3 linked regions of the Neurospora crassa OR74A genome follow. The protein of the gene in region 3 interacts with the protein of the main gene of each other region in a pairwise test. Links are inferred from orthologs where the notes say so. Each region holds a gene or a part of one and is shown on either strand. Other genes may lie near its edges.

The links. The genes of interacting proteins can lie anywhere in the genome.
Region 1: the proteins of NCU06540 (region 3) and NCU01601 interact in binary tests that used the Saccharomyces cerevisiae proteins (3 or more experiments, as listed by UniProt). The link is inferred for Neurospora crassa OR74A from reciprocal best matches to the Saccharomyces cerevisiae genes PAT1 and LSM1.
Region 2: the proteins of NCU06540 (region 3) and NCU03766 interact in binary tests that used the Saccharomyces cerevisiae proteins (3 or more experiments, as listed by UniProt). The link is inferred for Neurospora crassa OR74A from reciprocal best matches to the Saccharomyces cerevisiae genes PAT1 and LSM5.

Annotation. Positions count from the first base shown.
Region 1 is NC_026502.1:2,980,023-2,985,455, forward strand, and holds NCU01601 (hypothetical protein), read right to left. Parts: upstream 2,796-5,433; 5' UTR 2,532-2,795; coding exon 2,354-2,531; intron 2,280-2,353; coding exon 2,211-2,279; intron 2,086-2,210; coding exon 1,766-2,085; 3' UTR 1,462-1,765; downstream 1-1,461. Other genes in the region: NCU01599 (hypothetical protein), read left to right, coding at 3,665-4,087, 4,159-5,433. UniProt on the Saccharomyces cerevisiae protein: Component of the cytoplasmic LSM1-LSM7 complex which is involved in mRNA degradation by activating the decapping step.
Region 2 is NC_026505.1:2,343,896-2,349,093, reverse strand, and holds NCU03766 (small nuclear ribonucleoprotein), read right to left. Parts: upstream 2,672-5,198; 5' UTR 2,558-2,671; coding exon 2,533-2,557; intron 2,455-2,532; coding exon 2,398-2,454; intron 2,318-2,397; coding exon 2,279-2,317; intron 2,200-2,278; coding exon 2,172-2,199; intron 2,105-2,171; coding exon 2,041-2,104; intron 1,984-2,040; coding exon 1,942-1,983; 3' UTR 1,747-1,941; intron 1,671-1,746; 3' UTR 1,462-1,670; downstream 1-1,461. Other genes in the region: NCU03767 (mitochondrial chaperone bcs1), read left to right, coding at 1-1,447; NCU03765 (3'-5' exonuclease/helicase), read left to right, coding at 3,289-3,437, 3,515-5,198. UniProt on the Saccharomyces cerevisiae protein: Component of LSm protein complexes, which are involved in RNA processing and may function in a chaperone-like manner. Component of the cytoplasmic LSM1-LSM7 complex which is involved in mRNA degradation by activating the decapping step.
Region 3 is NC_026504.1:1,576,556-1,582,675, forward strand, and holds NCU06540 (topisomerase II associated protein), read right to left. Parts: upstream 4,344-6,120; 5' UTR 3,987-4,343; intron 3,555-3,986; 5' UTR 3,508-3,554; coding exon 1,313-3,507; intron 1,252-1,312; coding exon 963-1,251; 3' UTR 164-962; downstream 1-163. Other genes in the region: NCU06539 (hypothetical protein), read left to right, coding at 1-163. UniProt on the Saccharomyces cerevisiae protein: Activator of decapping that functions as a general and active mechanism of translational repression and required for P-body formation. First decay factor recruited to mRNA, at a time when the mRNA is still associated with translation factors.

The sequences.
Region 1 (5,433 bases), on a different chromosome or scaffold from region 3:
TTCACTTTTATTGACAAAAGCGAGCGAGGTATCAAAGCTTCTTTCCATAGCAACATCCTTACACGTGCGAAAGACATACACCAAGAATAAAAAAAAATGGGCAGATACTGACCCTAACCACAGTCGCGGCGAACTGTTACCATCGATCATCGCAAGGACCGTTGCATGCCTTGAGCTTCGGAAAACTGCCATACCTGTTTGAGTTCAGTTGCCGGCGGTTTTTGACAATGGGACCGGCTGAAAGGATCCGTTTGGATATGGATTCTCTCCATAAACACATCTCCACACAGCCTCCATCCGGTGGAGCATGGGACGTTTCGAATCGCGGGTGGACGGCACTCCCGGTCTCGCTAGAGCAGCCACGCACATGGCAAACAACTCCTCTTACCCATGGGGCTGTTCATCTCCGAGGCTTCCTTTGTGCGGGACTATCCGTACAGCTGTCGTTGGGTGGTCCATCGTTCATGTTTGAAAACACATGTTGCACCGGGATGGTGGAAGATTCATCTCGAGGTTCTCCCACCGAGCTTCTTCGTTCACAACGACGCCAATGCACCCCGCAATCAACGACCTTGGGGACAACGGCGACCGGAGACAATGAGAAATAGCTAAATGTCTTTTATGTGTCCAACTTTACCTTCTCCCGGACAGCTATTCCCCTCACTTTCCCCCAGACAATCGGGTGGACAGGCCAATAATGGCTTCACCATGTCGACGATCCATGATTTGCCCTAGGGTGGTGCCCGATTAGATGAGGATGAGGAGAAGGGCCCGCCAAGATTAAGTAACTTGCCCCAAGCAAGTTGAAACTGCGCCGATAAGTATATCATAAAGGTTTGCCTAGGACAATGACCGTGAGATAGCCCAAGTGAGCTTGCACCCGGAATTGTGGCATCTTACCCTCCTTCTTCTTTCTTGCGTTTGCAGACCTTCAAGCCCTACGCCACGCCCTCGACATGGGGCTGGTACAACTTCAGTTTACCCACCACGCCCAACCATACATTCATGGACGACTTCACAGATTTATAGTGGTGGACTTACGAAAGACCTAGTGATGGCCTACAGCCAGCCCAACCCAGCCCACAACGACATCTCCCAGCGGCTTATACAGAACCCTCAGTGGATCAACGTGAGGTACATTGGATTTCCCTATTCCGACCGAAACAAGTTCAACCCCCCCTTTGTTGGCATGTGGAACGCAACCCCCGCAGCAGGTGGTTGAGTACTTGCTGCATATCATCTTTCAGTTTGATGATGCTGGGTAATCGGTTGGTTGGTCATGAGTGCCAACGCCTCATTTCCCGAGCTCGGCGTAGTTATCGATGATGGCGGGTGGGTGGGAGGATGTTGAAGTCGATGGGTTTGTGCCGGCTATGTGACTAGTCCTAGGAAAGAATGTTAGTCGTGGATATCTCTCTGGGCTATCCTTTCCCAACATGATCATAGTCAGTAGTGGCCAGGTTCGATTCGAGGCAATCCATCGAATTGCTAATTTTCTAACGGTAAAATACACTTGGTGTCTTCTTGGGCCGACCTTGGTGTAAGGCTTCATGCGGTCTTCCATTCGTATGAAGTCGCAGCTGAGTGGATAGCATTTCACAATATTCTGCTTCCAATCGCTCATGCCATTCCCTCCTTCGACACTCCCTTTCCACTTCAGGGGTATGTAGGTATAAATCATAACAAGTTAAAGTTTTGGTCGTCTCTCCTCCCGTCTCTTTCTTTCCGTCCCATTTGTAAAATTTGAGGGTGATTCATATATCATTCACAGAAGCGCCTCGCCTACGTTCTCCCCTTCGAAGCCAATGGTGGAAAGCTTCTTGATCTTGCGCTTCTCCTTGGCCTTCTCCTCGGCCTTTTTCTGCTTGGCTAGTGTCTGCACCAGTTCGAGGTCGGCAGGGTCGTAGCCCGGGGGCGGGTCGTCGTCGCGGTCAAGGTCGATCTCGCCCATGAGGAGAACGTTCTCGCCGCGAACAACGAAGAGGCCCCGGTCGACGTCGGCGTAGAGCCCCCTGGTCTGGGTGGGTGACTGCGTGCCTGGAGGCACGAATATCCTCTCCTTTGTCTGTTGTAGTACTAGGTTGGCTAGTATGGTGGGAAAAAAGTGGATTCGCGTTAACACAGCTACCTCTTCATACTCGTGCTCGTTCGTGCGTGCGTGTATAGGTGGTCATGTGTTGTAAGAGAGAGGTAGGTTCATGGAGGCATACCAAACTGATCCCAACTGCGGAGGATGCCCGTGAGCTTTCGTCCGTCGCGCAATGCTACCATTAGCTTCTCTGTTGGTACCCCGCCGCTCGTGTCAGCCTAGTTCCTCCCGTCCAAAAGATATGTCCACAATATTGCTTCTTACTATCGGTCAGGTCGAGGAGTTGGGCAGCTGTGGTGAACATTTGCGCGGGCAACTGCTGGGGCTGGGGAGGACGGCCGCCTCCTAGGAGTCCCGGCGGGGGCATGCCGGGTCCAGGCTGGCCGGGGCCCTGAGGGAAGGGCGGCGGTGGGGGTTGATCGTTTATCGAGAGGTGTTCCATGGTTGTGTGCTGAAGATGGCCTATGTCTTCTAGTCCATCTGTAAAGTTTCGGGGGGTGTCTTCAAGGTTGTTGAATGGGAAGCGGGATGCAATGATGCGATGGGACAGCTGCCCGCCCTGACGTTGCCTGCCCGCACATACTACTACCTACCTACTGCGTACATACCTACCTTAGTACATAGCTGCTGCCCTGGGCTGCCCTGGGCTTGCTCCGCTGTTTGTGCAGTTCACCCCACTTTCACGGTGAGAGGCAGCGACGAGAAGTGTGTTCCTTGAAGGACAGCCCGAGTCGCACAGATCTTTTTACCACTCTACTTACACGGCTCCTGCCATAAGCTTTTAGTGGATGATTCCAGCTTCCTTCCGGCAGGCAATTTGCGTATATGTACATGATACAAGTCAGCCACATCGCAGGTTGAGCCACAAGACGGAGCGAATCTCAGCTTTATCCACTTCAGCAATCAGCTCGGCTCATACAAACCTATCGCTGCTTCCTGCGGCAGACTGCTCTCGCTTAGGTACAGCGCCTGTGCGGTGGAGCTTCCATGATCACCGGACTGTATGTCTAGTCAGTAAACACTGCCAGGGCAAGGTGAAACCAAGCGCTGTGCAGCAACCTACAGTATTATTCAACCCGGTGGCCGGACAATGAGCCGACGGGACCTGCACTGACCTCCCTGTGCTGGTTTGCCTGTACCTACCTAGGTAGTGCCGCACTGCATTCTCCGGTCCTTCTGCTTCGGCTCAACCTGCTGTCAACCCCATTTCATTCTGCCACTCCATATTTCTCCATCTGCACCATACGTACCCTCGCTGTCGACAATTATACACAAAAGATCCCATGAGGACTATGTCCAAACCCGCTTCGACCACCAGAAGCCGTTCCTTTTCTCTCGCCCTTGCGCTGTAACCATTCTGCGCGCCCGTCCATCGGCGGACGAGGGCAGCTCTCTTCCCGTCGTCCAGTCGACTTTGACTTACTCGTCCTCTAGCCTCAAATCTCTGCACTGGGGCTCTCTTTTTTCCGCCCACCAGCCTCGCCTTGAGGTTTGCCTCGCCTGGTCTTACCTGGTCCGGATACAATAAAAAAGCAGGCAACCAAGAAACATATTTACGAGGACCCCCCTTTCGCCATGGCTTCTACCGACGTTACCATGGCCGACGCACCTTCCGGGCGGCCTGATCGCCGCTCCAACGCTTCTCCTCCTCCCGGTCAGTCACAGTCACAGTCTAAGAGAGACAAGCGACGCCAAATGCTTGCCGAACGCATTGCAACCCTTTCCGACAAATGGAGCAAGGACAGAGACCAGGCCTTTCGCGAACAACTACAAAAGATTCAGATTGACACCAGTCTGGTCATGCGAGTCGACCCCTATGTCGATCGACCTTTGGACAGCTTCGAAGAGGATCAGAGACGACTCAACCAGCTCAATGGCGCCGACTCCGACGGTGGTCCACGATCCCTCCTTGACATGGCTGGCCCCAAATTTGCCAAGTGGATGGAGAACGTACAGGATCTTGCAGAGCAACGCGATTATGCTCTCACCAAATTTAAAGTACGTCTCCCGATCATAACCGTTCAACGCTCCGCCAGTCAAAGTGCCAATGCTGACTCTTGGTTCCGCAGTTTGACTACGAGAAGAAGATCGCCGAATACCTCAATACGCATGCCTATAAGACGGAGCTTGCGAACAGAGAACACAAGGCGCTTGCCTCGACCCTCCGCGACCGACTGATCAACATCATCACTTCGAAAAAATACCGGCTCAACAAGGAGAAGGAGGCCCTCGAGATTGCCGATGCGTCCGCACTCCTCTTACACCCCAACCAATTCAGCATCACAAACCCAGCCAGCCCCGGAGGCACACACGGCAAGCGGGCCACCCGCCTGCGGAGAGAAATGGAGGAGATGAACGGCATGGACAGCAAGAAAAGAAAGCGCAACATGAATGATGACGACGGTTCTCCAGCGCCACAGCGCCGTGCACTCGACCCCAACAGCACTACACCCCTATGGCAGACCGACCGTCTGGTCCAACGCAAGACCACCGGCCCCATCTACAGCATTGACAAGCTGTTCACGGACAAGGAATTGTCAATGACCTACAACCAGTCGGCCTTGGCTGCGCACAAATACATTCTTACCCATAAGCCACGGTTTGACGACTATGGGCGCCCTATCTCGTCACCCGAGGGTAGTGTTTCCGGTAGCGGCGACCCTGATGATCTCGACTCGGAGTCGGCTCCGTCGGCGCCGATGATGGAGAGGAACGTTTCGCACGCTACTCGCAGCAACAAAAGTGGGGCTAACAATCCCAACTTTGACGACAAACTCATGGGCTTGGAGATGCTCGCTAACTTCGACTTCCCCGGTAACCTTGAGCGTTTGACTAGCAGTCAGGACCCTAAGCAGCCTCCTGCCTTCCCGTCACAATACGTCAAGGGCCATGCAAAGCAGTCTGAGTTTAACACACCGGCAGCACTGGCTAATGACGACGTGACCGGGGACTTGATGGTTATGCATGCCCTGAAGCAGTACGACCAGCTTAACGGCATGGGCGCCAATCTACAGACTGAGCATGGAAGCATGAAGCTTCTCCAATCGGTGTCGCTCCCGGTCAAGGACCGCAGATTTGTGTCATTTGTCCAGGGCGAGCGGCCGTCGGAGAACGAACTCAGGCAGCGCCTTGGTCTTCCCCCGATCAAGGAGCCTGTCGAGCCCGAAAGATCTGAGCCAATCAATGGTCTCGGTATCGGCACCCCGTCAAAGGGCGGCCGCTCGGGTACTCCGTCTCATCACCAGTCTCCTGCTAAGGCGCTTGGGGGTGTCTCTATGAGCAGACAGTCTAGCGCCAACGGCGGCGTGGCGATGAGCCGGACCAGCAGCAGAAAGGGACGCGGC
Region 2 (5,198 bases), on a different chromosome or scaffold from region 3:
TATTGATACGGCGGGATTGGTGAATAGAAAGGATGAGACGGATGAGGAGAGTAGTAGTAGTAGTGAGAGTAGTGGTAGTGATGCAGGTGGGAGTAGTGATAGTGATGATGATTATTTGATGAGTGAGAAGAAGAGGGCACTGGAGGTGATATTTTTGGAGGGAAAGTTGGCGAGGAAGAAGAGGAAAGGGAAGGGAAAGCAGGTGACGGCAGAGCAGGAGGCTCTTGAGAAGGAAGTGGCGGAGAAGTTGGCTGCCTTGAAGGAGATGCTTAAAGAGGGCAATGACGAGGAAAAGGCAGATGAGACGGTTACTGACGAAAAGAATACCACTCCTGAAAAGGAGAAACAGAAACCTGCTGCCCCTGAGGGCGAAGAGAAGCCCACCTCTTCTGCAGATGATGCCAGAGAAACTGGAGAGAAAATAACGAAACAAGAATCTAGCAGCACTACTGACAAGAAGAAGAAGCCCATGACGGCCAAAGAGAAGAAGCACAAGAAAAAGCAGAAGAGGAAAAGGATGTCGAAGACGTTCGCTGCCACTACACTTCATAACCTGGACTTGGTCCGGAGACAGTACGGTCGCAGACGGCCGTCTCCGTATGACCGAGAACGGGGCATTTCGCTATCAGGTTTACTCAACGCCATCGACGGCGTTGCCTCGCATGAAGGCCGCGTGCTCATCATGACAACCAACAAGCCAGAGAAGCTAGACGAAGCACTACTTCGACCGGGCAGGGTCGACATCCAGATTGCTTTCCTCAACGCCACGCAGGAACAAGTCAGGGAGCTATTTGAGAGGATGTACGAAGCCGATGTGGTGAACCCAGCCACAGTGACATTTACCCAGGTTGGGAATAAGGTCACAGCTAGCACCACATCGGCAGCTACTACATTGCCTCCAGTCGGTCATTCTCCTCACACGGGGGTTGCGTCCCCGGATGGCACCGGCACAGGCACCGGCACCACCGCTGAGAAGGATGAAGAAAAACAACAACAGCCCCCCATAGACCCCAAGATCGTTGATCTCAAACTCCTCGACGACAACAACCTCCGCAAGTCCTCCATCAGCAGTTGCTCTAGTGACGCAACCGTCATTGGCGAAGAGGACAACGCCGCTGCTCCTCCTCTTGTTCCCATCATCACCGCCGCCGCCGCGGCGACAGCCAAAGACAAGGGGAAACAACAAGAACCAGCAGAAGAAAAGACGGAAAGTCCCGTCCCTCTCCACATTACCCCCCTAACTAGACAAGAACTCCAAAAGATCGCCAGGGAGTTTTCCCTGAGAATCCCGGCATCCCAGATCCTCAGTCCGGCGGAGATCCAGGGCTTTCTGTTGAGGCGCAAGAAGGACCCCAGAAGGGCGTTGGCGGAGGTGGACAAGTGGGTGGAGGAGCTGGTCAAGGCGAAGGAGAGTAAGAGCAAGATTTTGGATGCTAAGGCTATTTGAAGTGTGGTGGTGGTTGAATGTTGGTTTGGTAGTTATGGGTTGTGGAAGAGAGCAAGGACGGCTGGTTGGGTGGTGGGGTGGGTTTGGATATTCAATGTTGCTGGTGCTCCTAGATCAGGTGAGTTGCAACAACAGGCAGCCATTTTCTTGCTTTGTTTCTCAATTGAAGAGGTGATCCAAAAGCGCTTGGTTAAGGTTAAGAGGAACTGCTGATCGTGCTAGCCTAAGATAATTTTTTTTGGTCAAGTCGGGTCAAACAAACAGTATGAAATATGATGGAGGATTATAGTTCAACCTACCTCATGTGAGCTGTGTATGGCAGCAATTTCCTTGGAGGTGTTTTGGAATCAGTCTGAATTACCTATTATTATTGACTTCTTCTTGAAGTGACCGACAGAGGGCAAAGAAACGTCCATTCGTATTTCGTGATATGCTGATGATGATTGCTTCTTCCTAACGCGGCCATGCCTCATGTATCCTCTCAAGCCTTCAAATCAGGCAGATGCCGCAATTGGGCCTTCACCACCGGGAATCAACTGAGCACAGCTGTTAGTTGTTTGTAAACGCGAGCTTTGATGACGATGATGACCCACCATGCAGATGTTGTTGCCGTTCAACAGGATCTTCTTCAACTTGGTGTGGTTGCCGGAGTAGTCGCTGATCGAGCAGGAGTGAAGTTAGTAATGTCCTTCATGAACTACTTCCAGAGTAGGACGCGTCGTACAACTCAGTGACGTCCTCCAAAACCATGTCTATTTGAAAGTGAGTTAGCATAAGGCTCCGTGGGACGATATGAAGACAGGGGATGGTGAGGAGAGGCCCGCTACTTACTAACGTAGTCATCGAAACCAACAAGAGTGCCAGCGAACTCTGTTTTCATTCCATCATCAGTCAGCACATCCATCGATAAGTCAAAATCCAGCAGGGACAGCTAGGATGGCATAACGTGCCCTTGTCTCCCTTCATGACAACCCAGATGCGGGAACCAACACACTTGTCGATGAGCTCTGGGGAAAAAAACCACGTTAGCTGTCTTATTCTTGGATACCTAAGTAGTGGTGCCCAGCATGAGCTCTCTCACTCACCGAGAGGAAGTAATTGCGAGGCCATGTTGTATGTGGTGTGGAATGGTCGAGTCTTTAGGTAAGTCTGGATGTCGAAAGGGACGTTCAGTGGCTGTTCACTGAGCTTCGATTGTGAGGCCAACAAGGCGACAGGGCGTACGTACTAAGCTGTTGTACAGTGAAAAAAGATCAGTAATTCCCACAGTATCAGCGTGGACTCGGATTCGTTCTTGGCGCAGCTTATGCTTGTACCCATGCATATGAGAATAAACGGGGTATCTACCTAGGCTTCAGCAGCAGCAACTCGGCAGCGGCTGGACGTCGTGACAGCGCTGCTGTTGCAGTGGCAACCGAATCAATTAGTTCACATCGACCCTTCCTTGTGAACAAAGCAAACAGTTCGTTTGTGATTTCAGTATTCGGAGGCAACCAAATACGTTCGCGTTTCTGCCTGCCAGCAGCCAACGTTGCCCGTGACAAGGTATTTCTCGGTCCAATATTTGTTCAACTTGAAGTTTCAACGTCCACTCCGTCTCCGACTTCTTCTCTTGGTTCCCCCACTTTGACCGAACCAACATTCATATCAGTGCCCTGAAACCACCAAACACCTTTTCGTCTCGTTCCCCTCTGTCAGCATTCAAACGAATCGACAGGTCATGGCGCAGTTCTCTGGGCCTTGACAACCTGCAACATTACTTACTACCTACCTACCTCTACCACGCATACCTCCCACGCACTCGGCAACTTTGTGATCTGCGCTTGCCATCCATCGCTATAATGAGGTCCCCGCACCCTATACCACAAGCCATCGGCGCCGGTGCCAACGCCGTAAACAGCACCACCAGCTTGACTCTGAGGCAATGCCGGCGGCGTTTCTTTGCTTCTTCGCCCTCATCCTCGGTTCCTTCCACATCCCGTTATCCAGTGTAGGTTCACTGGCTCTTCCAGGTCCTTACTACTTCTCCGTATATTTTTGGCTGACCAGGGTTTTACACAAATCAAGACATCTTGGCGCCATGGAGAGGAAAGATCAGACGTGGAATTCAAGCCGGGGCATTACGTTTGCTGGCGATAGTCGCGGCAGCGTTGGATACCCGCAACTGCCATCTTTGGCAAGATATCACAGCGACTCTGCGGTGTCAGCAGCCTCAAACCCGGAACCTGTTCTTCCGCCCAACCACGATGGTGTCTTCAACTCCACAGGTGTACCTCAGGGAAATCCTGACGCGAATGGAACGACGTTAGACTCCCAGGGGCAGGAGTTTGTTGATGCACAGGAAGGGCTGGAGGAACAGTTCCAACTCATACTCGAGGATGGGAACGTTGAGTCGAAAGATGAGGATGCTTCTCTCAAGCCTCCGTTTACACCACTCAGCTTCACCATGTCCGAGGATCTCTTCAAGGAGGCGAAGAAGGCGGCCGAGGGCACTCCAAAGTCTTACTGGACTTACAACCTCTATCGTGGGCCCGACAAGGATGGAAACATGAACGAGAAGGTCAAGGTCCATTACTGCAGAAGTGCGACCACCACTGAGAGGGTCTTGAAGCAGTACTTCATGGATGAGAAGATTCTCGGTCTTGACTTGGAATGGGAAATCAGCGCAAAGGAGAGCCACGGCCCGAGGCAAAACGTGTCGGTTATCCAGATTGCTTCGGAGAAGCGTATTGGAATCTTTCACATTTCGCTCTATCCGAGGAAGGATGAGCTTGCTTCTCCGTTACTCAAGCAAATCATCGAGGACGCCGATGTTGTCAAAGCCGGTGTCTGGATCATGGGCGACTGCACCCGTTTGAAAACGTTCCTCGGGATCGAAGCAAAGGGAATTTATGAGCTCTCTCACTTGTATAAGCTCGTCAAGTACTCTGCTTCCGGTGAGCACAAGCTTGTCAACAGACGCCTTGTCCCGTTGGCAACATTGGTAAAGGAGGTCCTCCAGTTGCCAATGTTCAAAGGAGCAGTCCGGACAAGTGAATGGTCCAAGCCCCTGAACATGGACCAAATCCTCTACTCAGGATCCGACGCCTACGCCGGCGTACAGCTCTTCGCCATGATGGACCACCAACGAAAGCAACTTAACCCCACTCCTCCCCTCCCGTACGCCGCCGAGCTCAAGCTGCCCATCAGGCTCGCCGCGGACGTCATCTTCGAAGAAGCCGGCTTATTAGACGAACAGTTTTCGGAAGTAACGGCCGCGCCTGACGCCACTCTATCAGCCAACTACCTCTCCACTGTGGGTGACAATATCAACGTCGAAATCGAAGGAGACGGGAGCACGACCCTCAGCGGCGAAGACGCTTTTGTCTCTGCCACCACCAAAACCGGCAAGAATGGCACAAGCAAGAAAACCACCGAACCCTCAACAACATCCACAAAACGCAAACGGACCTCCAAAGAATCCAACGAGTCCAAAGAGTCCAAAGTACCCAAACCAATCGACCCCCTCATCTCCGAAGCCACCCTCTGGGCCCAGAACTACCTCCTCTCCCATATCTCCCGCAAACAAACCTTTGCCCCCAAATCCCCCCTCTCCGTCGCCAACCTGCGCGCCTATTACCTCTGGTCTCGTAATCCGTCGATGAACTGCGAAGCTCTGGCCGCGTTGCTCGGCATCAAGACTAGCACGGCCGCACAATACATTCTGGTGGCTATTCAGAAGGAAAAGGGTAGGCTGTCGTTTGAGCCGAAG
Region 3 (6,120 bases):
TGATAAGAAGCCGGGTGAGGAGGCGGTTTCGGTGCCCTCGGTTTTTGGCACGAAAAAGGCCACCGTCACGGCTGCGGCGAACAAGGTTGTTAACAGCAAGGGAAAGGGAAAGGCGGTAGCAGCGGCAACATCTTCTTCGTCGAATGCCATGCAGCTTGACTAGGAGTCAGAGACTGTCGGCGATAAGAGAAGGACCTCACGCTTGAAGCGGTAAAGGCAAAGGGAGTGGGAGCGAAAGCTGAGCACATATCATATGTGAGCCTTTCCAAGCGGGAGCCCCAATATAGAGGGTCAGCGGCTACTACCCTTTGGTTAACTGATAGATTCTCTTCTCATCTTTAAGAAAAATACGATACCCTACGACTGACTCCCATTCTTTCCCGCCTTCTTCCTCGCAGGCTTTCTCCTGAAAACAGACCGTTATGGTGACAGGTGTGGCGAACAATGATCAATGATGTTTGACCTCGCAAAACCCAACCCGACCGACCGCTTTTTTGGTCCCTATTCTACAGTTGTCTCCATCCATCCATCCATCCATCCATCCATACAGCAATGCCGAGTTATATAGAAACCAACCGCCAAGTTCTTTTCTTTTCCCCAGCGATGCAATGTAGGTAAGAAGAAACTCCTCCTGCTTCCCGCCCCAGGAGTTTACCTTTCAGTAGTAGGTAAGCCAAAATGTTTATTAAGGTAAACAATTCCTTGTGAAATGGCCCATATACATGGTTCCTGTTCCTCCACCAAGCTGCTTTTTTTGATCCGCCTTAAAAGTATGAGCGAGTCTCTCGATATATGCAAGGGACTCTTCAAGAACAATCGCTGACCGAACGCGATGCAACCAACGCAACTTTTCCTTTTTTTCGATAATGATGATGATGATCGTCGTTGCTTAAACCACCCGCCCAGATAGTTTTTGCAACGGACTTTCAAAGTCAATGTGTGTAGGGTTATTGCCGAGTTGCTTACTGGAGCAGCTCAACGTCGAGGCCGATCGACCGCATGAAGAGGTTGACGTTCTGCAGACGGTCGGCTGCGAGTGCTGGAGGCAACGTCTTGGCGAGGCTGACGGTGTCCATGACACGATCCTTGACAGCAATGACAAGTCTTTGCTGCTGGTCAGGGCTGGCACCGATACCGATAGCGGCGAGAAGCTGCCAGACGTAGGTATCCTGATCGGTGGCAATGCTACCGGGGAAAATGTACGGAAGAGTGGGCTCGAGGATGTTGAAGAACTGAGTGTAGGTCATGTCCCTGTAGAGACAGTTAGCATTTGGTTCATGTCTCATGATACCATGAATATAGAGGAACTTACCAAGAACGCCAATCCTGTTCACTGCCTCCGCCATTGTGCTTGATAAGCTCCGCCCGACTGAGAATCATGGTAAGCATCGACGCGCCAATTCTGCTCTTGGCGATGACGTCCACGTTGCGCGTGCACACAAGACCAAGGATGGCGGCAACAAGATCGAGGCCGAGTTCGTTCATAAACGTGAACAGCGTGGTTACTATAGCAGCCGAGAACAGCTCAATGTTTTCACGCATAGCGGCGTTGAACTGGATGTCATCAGTTGTAACCTGAGCTTCTCGGACAACGTCGAGTTGGTCGAGATTCACGACAATGCGTGTGAAAATGGTAATTCTTTGCTCGTGGTTCGTGTGACGGAAGATGCGCGGTATGGCTTTCTTGCCCTTACTGTAACTGAGAAGGGCCATGAAGGGGTGGATGCGGCCTGGCTGGTCGTGATCCTGCACCCTCAGAGCCTTCCAAAGCTGCTCATTCAACGCCTGTCCCTCGTTACTCCATGCAAAGACCTTGGCAAGAGCTTCTTGATCGTCCTCGGCAGGCGCCATAGGCATGTTGCGTTCGTGGTCTTCCATCTTCATAAGTGTAGTGTATACCAGCTCGAGGGCCCTCAGTTCGTCCTTCTTGTCCCGGCCATTAACAGGATGCGGTGCCTTCTTCACATCGCTGGCGCTGTCGTTACGCTTGATGTTGAGAAGCGGCTTCGGGGTCTTGGCGTTGCTGAAGGAAATCTTGCCCAAGCTACCTTCAATAACAAGCTGCTTATTCTTGGGCTTGTTCTTGGCCGCCTCAACAGCACGCTGGACCTGTTGTTCCATCCTCTGCATATGGTTTTCAGGACCCCTGTTATGGCGGCGCATACCTCCTTGACGGCTTCCTGTCTGAAACAGATAAGTCTGAGCGAACTGGTTCAGAGGCTGGCTGGGGTGCTGGCGATGGCCAGCCTGGATCTGACTATGGACTTGATAGTAAAAGTCCTCGGCGAGTGACTCGTCTGTGCCGTGTTCATTGGGATTTCCAGTGGCTGCGACAAGCTGCTGAAGCTGGATCCGGGTGATGAAATTCTTGTCCTGTGGCGTCATGATACCATTGTCGCGAGACATTTGGAAGATCTTGTGGTTGCGCTTGGCGCGCTTAGCTTCCTGTTCAAGATACGCAGCCTTTTCCTCCTCCGAGAGCTGAGCCAGCTGGGCAGGATGAAGAATCATAGGGGGCTGTCGCGGAAGAGAGCCTTGTTGCCTGTGGCCCTGGTGAGCGGACTGAGGACCGGACGGAGGCGTAGGGTGAACAGGCAGCCCGATCTTAGCCGCGTCGCCTGAAAGACGGTTGGGGTTCTGCAGGATCTGAGTAGGCTGCTGAGGAACAGCGGGTTGCTGATGCTGTTGAATAGCGGGCGGTTGGGAAGAGGGCTGGGCTGGCGTAGGAGGCTTCGAGTGAGGCCGCTGAAGAATTGTCATGGGATGTCCCTGCGGTTGATGGTACAGAGGTTCAACGACACCGGCTTGGAAGTGAGCCTGCGGCTGGTTCTGAGCTTGGTGCTGGTAGAGGTAAGCCTGTTCATGTGGAATTTGATGGGGCTGATGCTGAGGAGCGGGAGATGGGGTGGCCGCCTTAGCCTGGGCGCGCATCTGAGCCTCAACCTCCTCAAGACTCAGCATCTTGCGGCCCCCAGACGGCGCGCTAGGGACGGCAGGTTGAGCAGGCGGCGGCGGTTGCTTCTTGGGTGCGACACCCCAGAGAGCAGCGTCAACCTGAAGATCCTCGATCGGCTGCTCGTGGTATTTTTCGTAGCCGGTCCTGGCAGGTCTAACTGGAGCCTGCGCGAAATAGTTGTACGAGGGTCCGGCGATGGGCGTATAGGCCGATGGCTGCGCGACAGGCTGGGGAGCCTTGGCAGCTGGTTGTTGGCGGTTGAAACGAACATTTTCCTCTTCAATGACGTTCGCGACCTTGGCGGTGTGGCCAAAGAAGTCAAAGTCTTTGCCTACAGGACCCGGCTCGCCAGTATCGCCGCCAAAAGTATCATCATTGAAGGCATCGTCGGTCTCATCCAGCTGGTCACCCAAGCCGTCATAAGTGTCCTCGAAGTCGATCTCTTCGGCTTCCTCGTCCCGGTTGGCTAGGCTGGCAAAGGGATCGTGAGCCTGGGAGAAGCCGGGAGCGGCGGTATTATGGCGAGACTGGTCGAAGTTGAAGAAAGACATATTGGCGATGCCTGTTGGGTTTATGGAAAATTTCTACAGAGGTATCACTATTGTAGGGTCAGTATACGTTGAGCGAAGAAAGATCGTTGCGGCGCAAATCCGGGTGCGATGTTGAGCTTTGGCTGATTGGCAAGGGCACAGAGGAAAATGAGGGGCAAAGCAAAAGACGAGACCCTGGTTGGTGAGTGGGACGAGAAGTATAAAGAAGGAACAGCCGTGACGCAGGTTCACGAAGTTCTGGGTGGAAGGGGAAACAGGAAGGGCTTGAAGGTCCAGTGGTCAAACAGCCCGAGCCAAGCAGAGGGGCGACTCGATGGATGTTCCACCTAGCTGGGGGTGGTGAGCTGTCTCTTGAAGCGCGGGGCAACAACAACGACATGGAAGATGGAGAATTGGGACATGGGAGCCCAACTTTCATCCCATGACCTTGCCATACCGAGGTTGCAAGCACGCTGTAGAGAAATCAAAGAACAACGTACAGAACGATATGTAAAGATGTTGGTATGATCGGTTTGGTCAAGCACCATGATGCTGCGATGCGCGACGTGAAGGGAAAGGAGACGTGTCGACGGCGGTGCGACTCGTGCAAAGGAGCGGAGCAGAGCTTGTCAGGGCGGCAACAAATACTCAGCGCTCGGCTTGGAAATATTAAAACAGAGAAGCAAAGAAGGCTGTGAACTAACGACCGGAAGCGCAACTGGGTGCGCCGCGGTGAAGATGTGGATGCGGTTGCTCGGAGTGGTAGCTTGATGGCAGCGCAAAAGGCGACAAGAGACCGACGCAGATGGATGAAGTCAGGCCAACTCCAACTCAGAAGCCAGATCAGGGAGCTGTGGACCAATCGCCCCCGAGGGCCAATGGAGCCTGGCAACAGGTGGGCGGGCGGCGGTAGGCCTGACGCTTTGACACACCACCCTCCTGTCTTGCCGTTCGTTGACTGACGATGGGACTTCCAAGGCCGCGGCCGGGGGAGTGATTGCCACGGTTGGGCGGCAACCAGAGGCCCATTGCCTGCCGGGCTGTGGGATCCTCAACCGCCGGCAAGAATGTCCATTCCATCCTTCCAGTCTTGCAAGTTGTTTTATCCGATGAGCCAATCGGCGATACCCGCCCGCTAGTTGTGATGCGTAACAGTGATCAACTGGAGGCTACAACATGAGACCCGGACGGGACGGCAACCTCATGGTCAACATTTAACGCCAAGCCGACAACCAAATTTCAAGCTCGAGATATCGATTTTGGCAAGAAAGCTGAAGGGCAAGGACAGTAGCTCAGGCATCCATTTTGCTGCCGTGACATCCGTGACTAAACGCAGCTGTTTAGACTGTGCTTCTAAGTATGTGAATTCGCCATTCCGATGCAGGTGAAGCGGAAGCGCGGACATGGACAGAGGCAAACATGGCATGGCTATCTTAAGGCTGTTTTCTTGACAGGTGACTTTACTGTACATAGTATGCAGTCGAACTTGAATTATATCAGGGGCCTGGTATTTCCCTGTTGTTTCTTTTGAGAGGGAGGTATCATGGCCATCACTCAAGTCGGTGTTCTTCGCCATCTTGAAGAACTACTCCGATCGGAGGAGCAATGCGGAGGGAGCAGGCCGGCAGCAGATCATATTAACCCAAGTATCATAGTATGAGCTAATCAGCCACTTCTCAGCGTGGTAAAAGGATCAAGAAGCTCAAGACATACCCCTCCGTTGACGGATGCGACATGTGAACTGAAGTCGTCGTAGAGGTAGGTAGTGCCCCTGGAAGTTGACGACGCCCGTCTCAAGGGGGTTTTTGTCCCTTACTAACAGGGCCACGCTAGAACCGTCACGGCCCGCAATAATGGGGTACCTGCGGATACAGGTGACGACGAAGCTGTGGGGGCACCGAGGGCACCCTAATGTCTTTCCCTGCCGCCTACCCCCGCGGCCAATCTTTTGGTCCTGGCCGGACGGAAACATTGAGGTGCTCAGGGGAATGCACCGCAAGCGACCATCAGGAACGGGGAATGCGATAGCTTCTGGTAGGTATGTAGATATTATTTAGGCCACTTGCGGACGTTGCTGAGGATGTTGTAGGTAGATACCGACACTTTTGGGATGTTTTCATTACAGGCTAGTTCGCACCTAACTACCTCTAAAGAGGCCGAAACATGAACAGCACTTGAGATACCAGCATCTCCATGCTAGACATTCCTCTAATATCCAAGTCCCCAAGTATCAGAACAAAGTATCCAGGGGTATTTACAGTCTAGAAAAGTGCCAGACTCTTCTCAACCAACGGCCCGGGTACCCCTTTGCATACGCGGACGTGGCACCCCTCTGTACCTCTACGTGCCAATTAATGTGCCTAGCAAACCTCCGCATTATATCCATACAATACCAGGCAATACGAAGCTGCAGTGGGCTGCCCTAGCAGGACTGCGCCCGAGCCTTCGAACCCTGACAGCTAACAACACTTGGCTCCCGTCCCGCCTCCAAGGGAACTTCTTCCTCTTTCAACTTCACTTCTTTTTCAGGATCCAAGCCTGGCCATCTTCTCTCCTGGTTGAATTATCTCTTTCAACCACCGAGGCCGTGTTCGCCATCTGCAGTTCCATCTCGGACATCTCCCCGGGATCCGG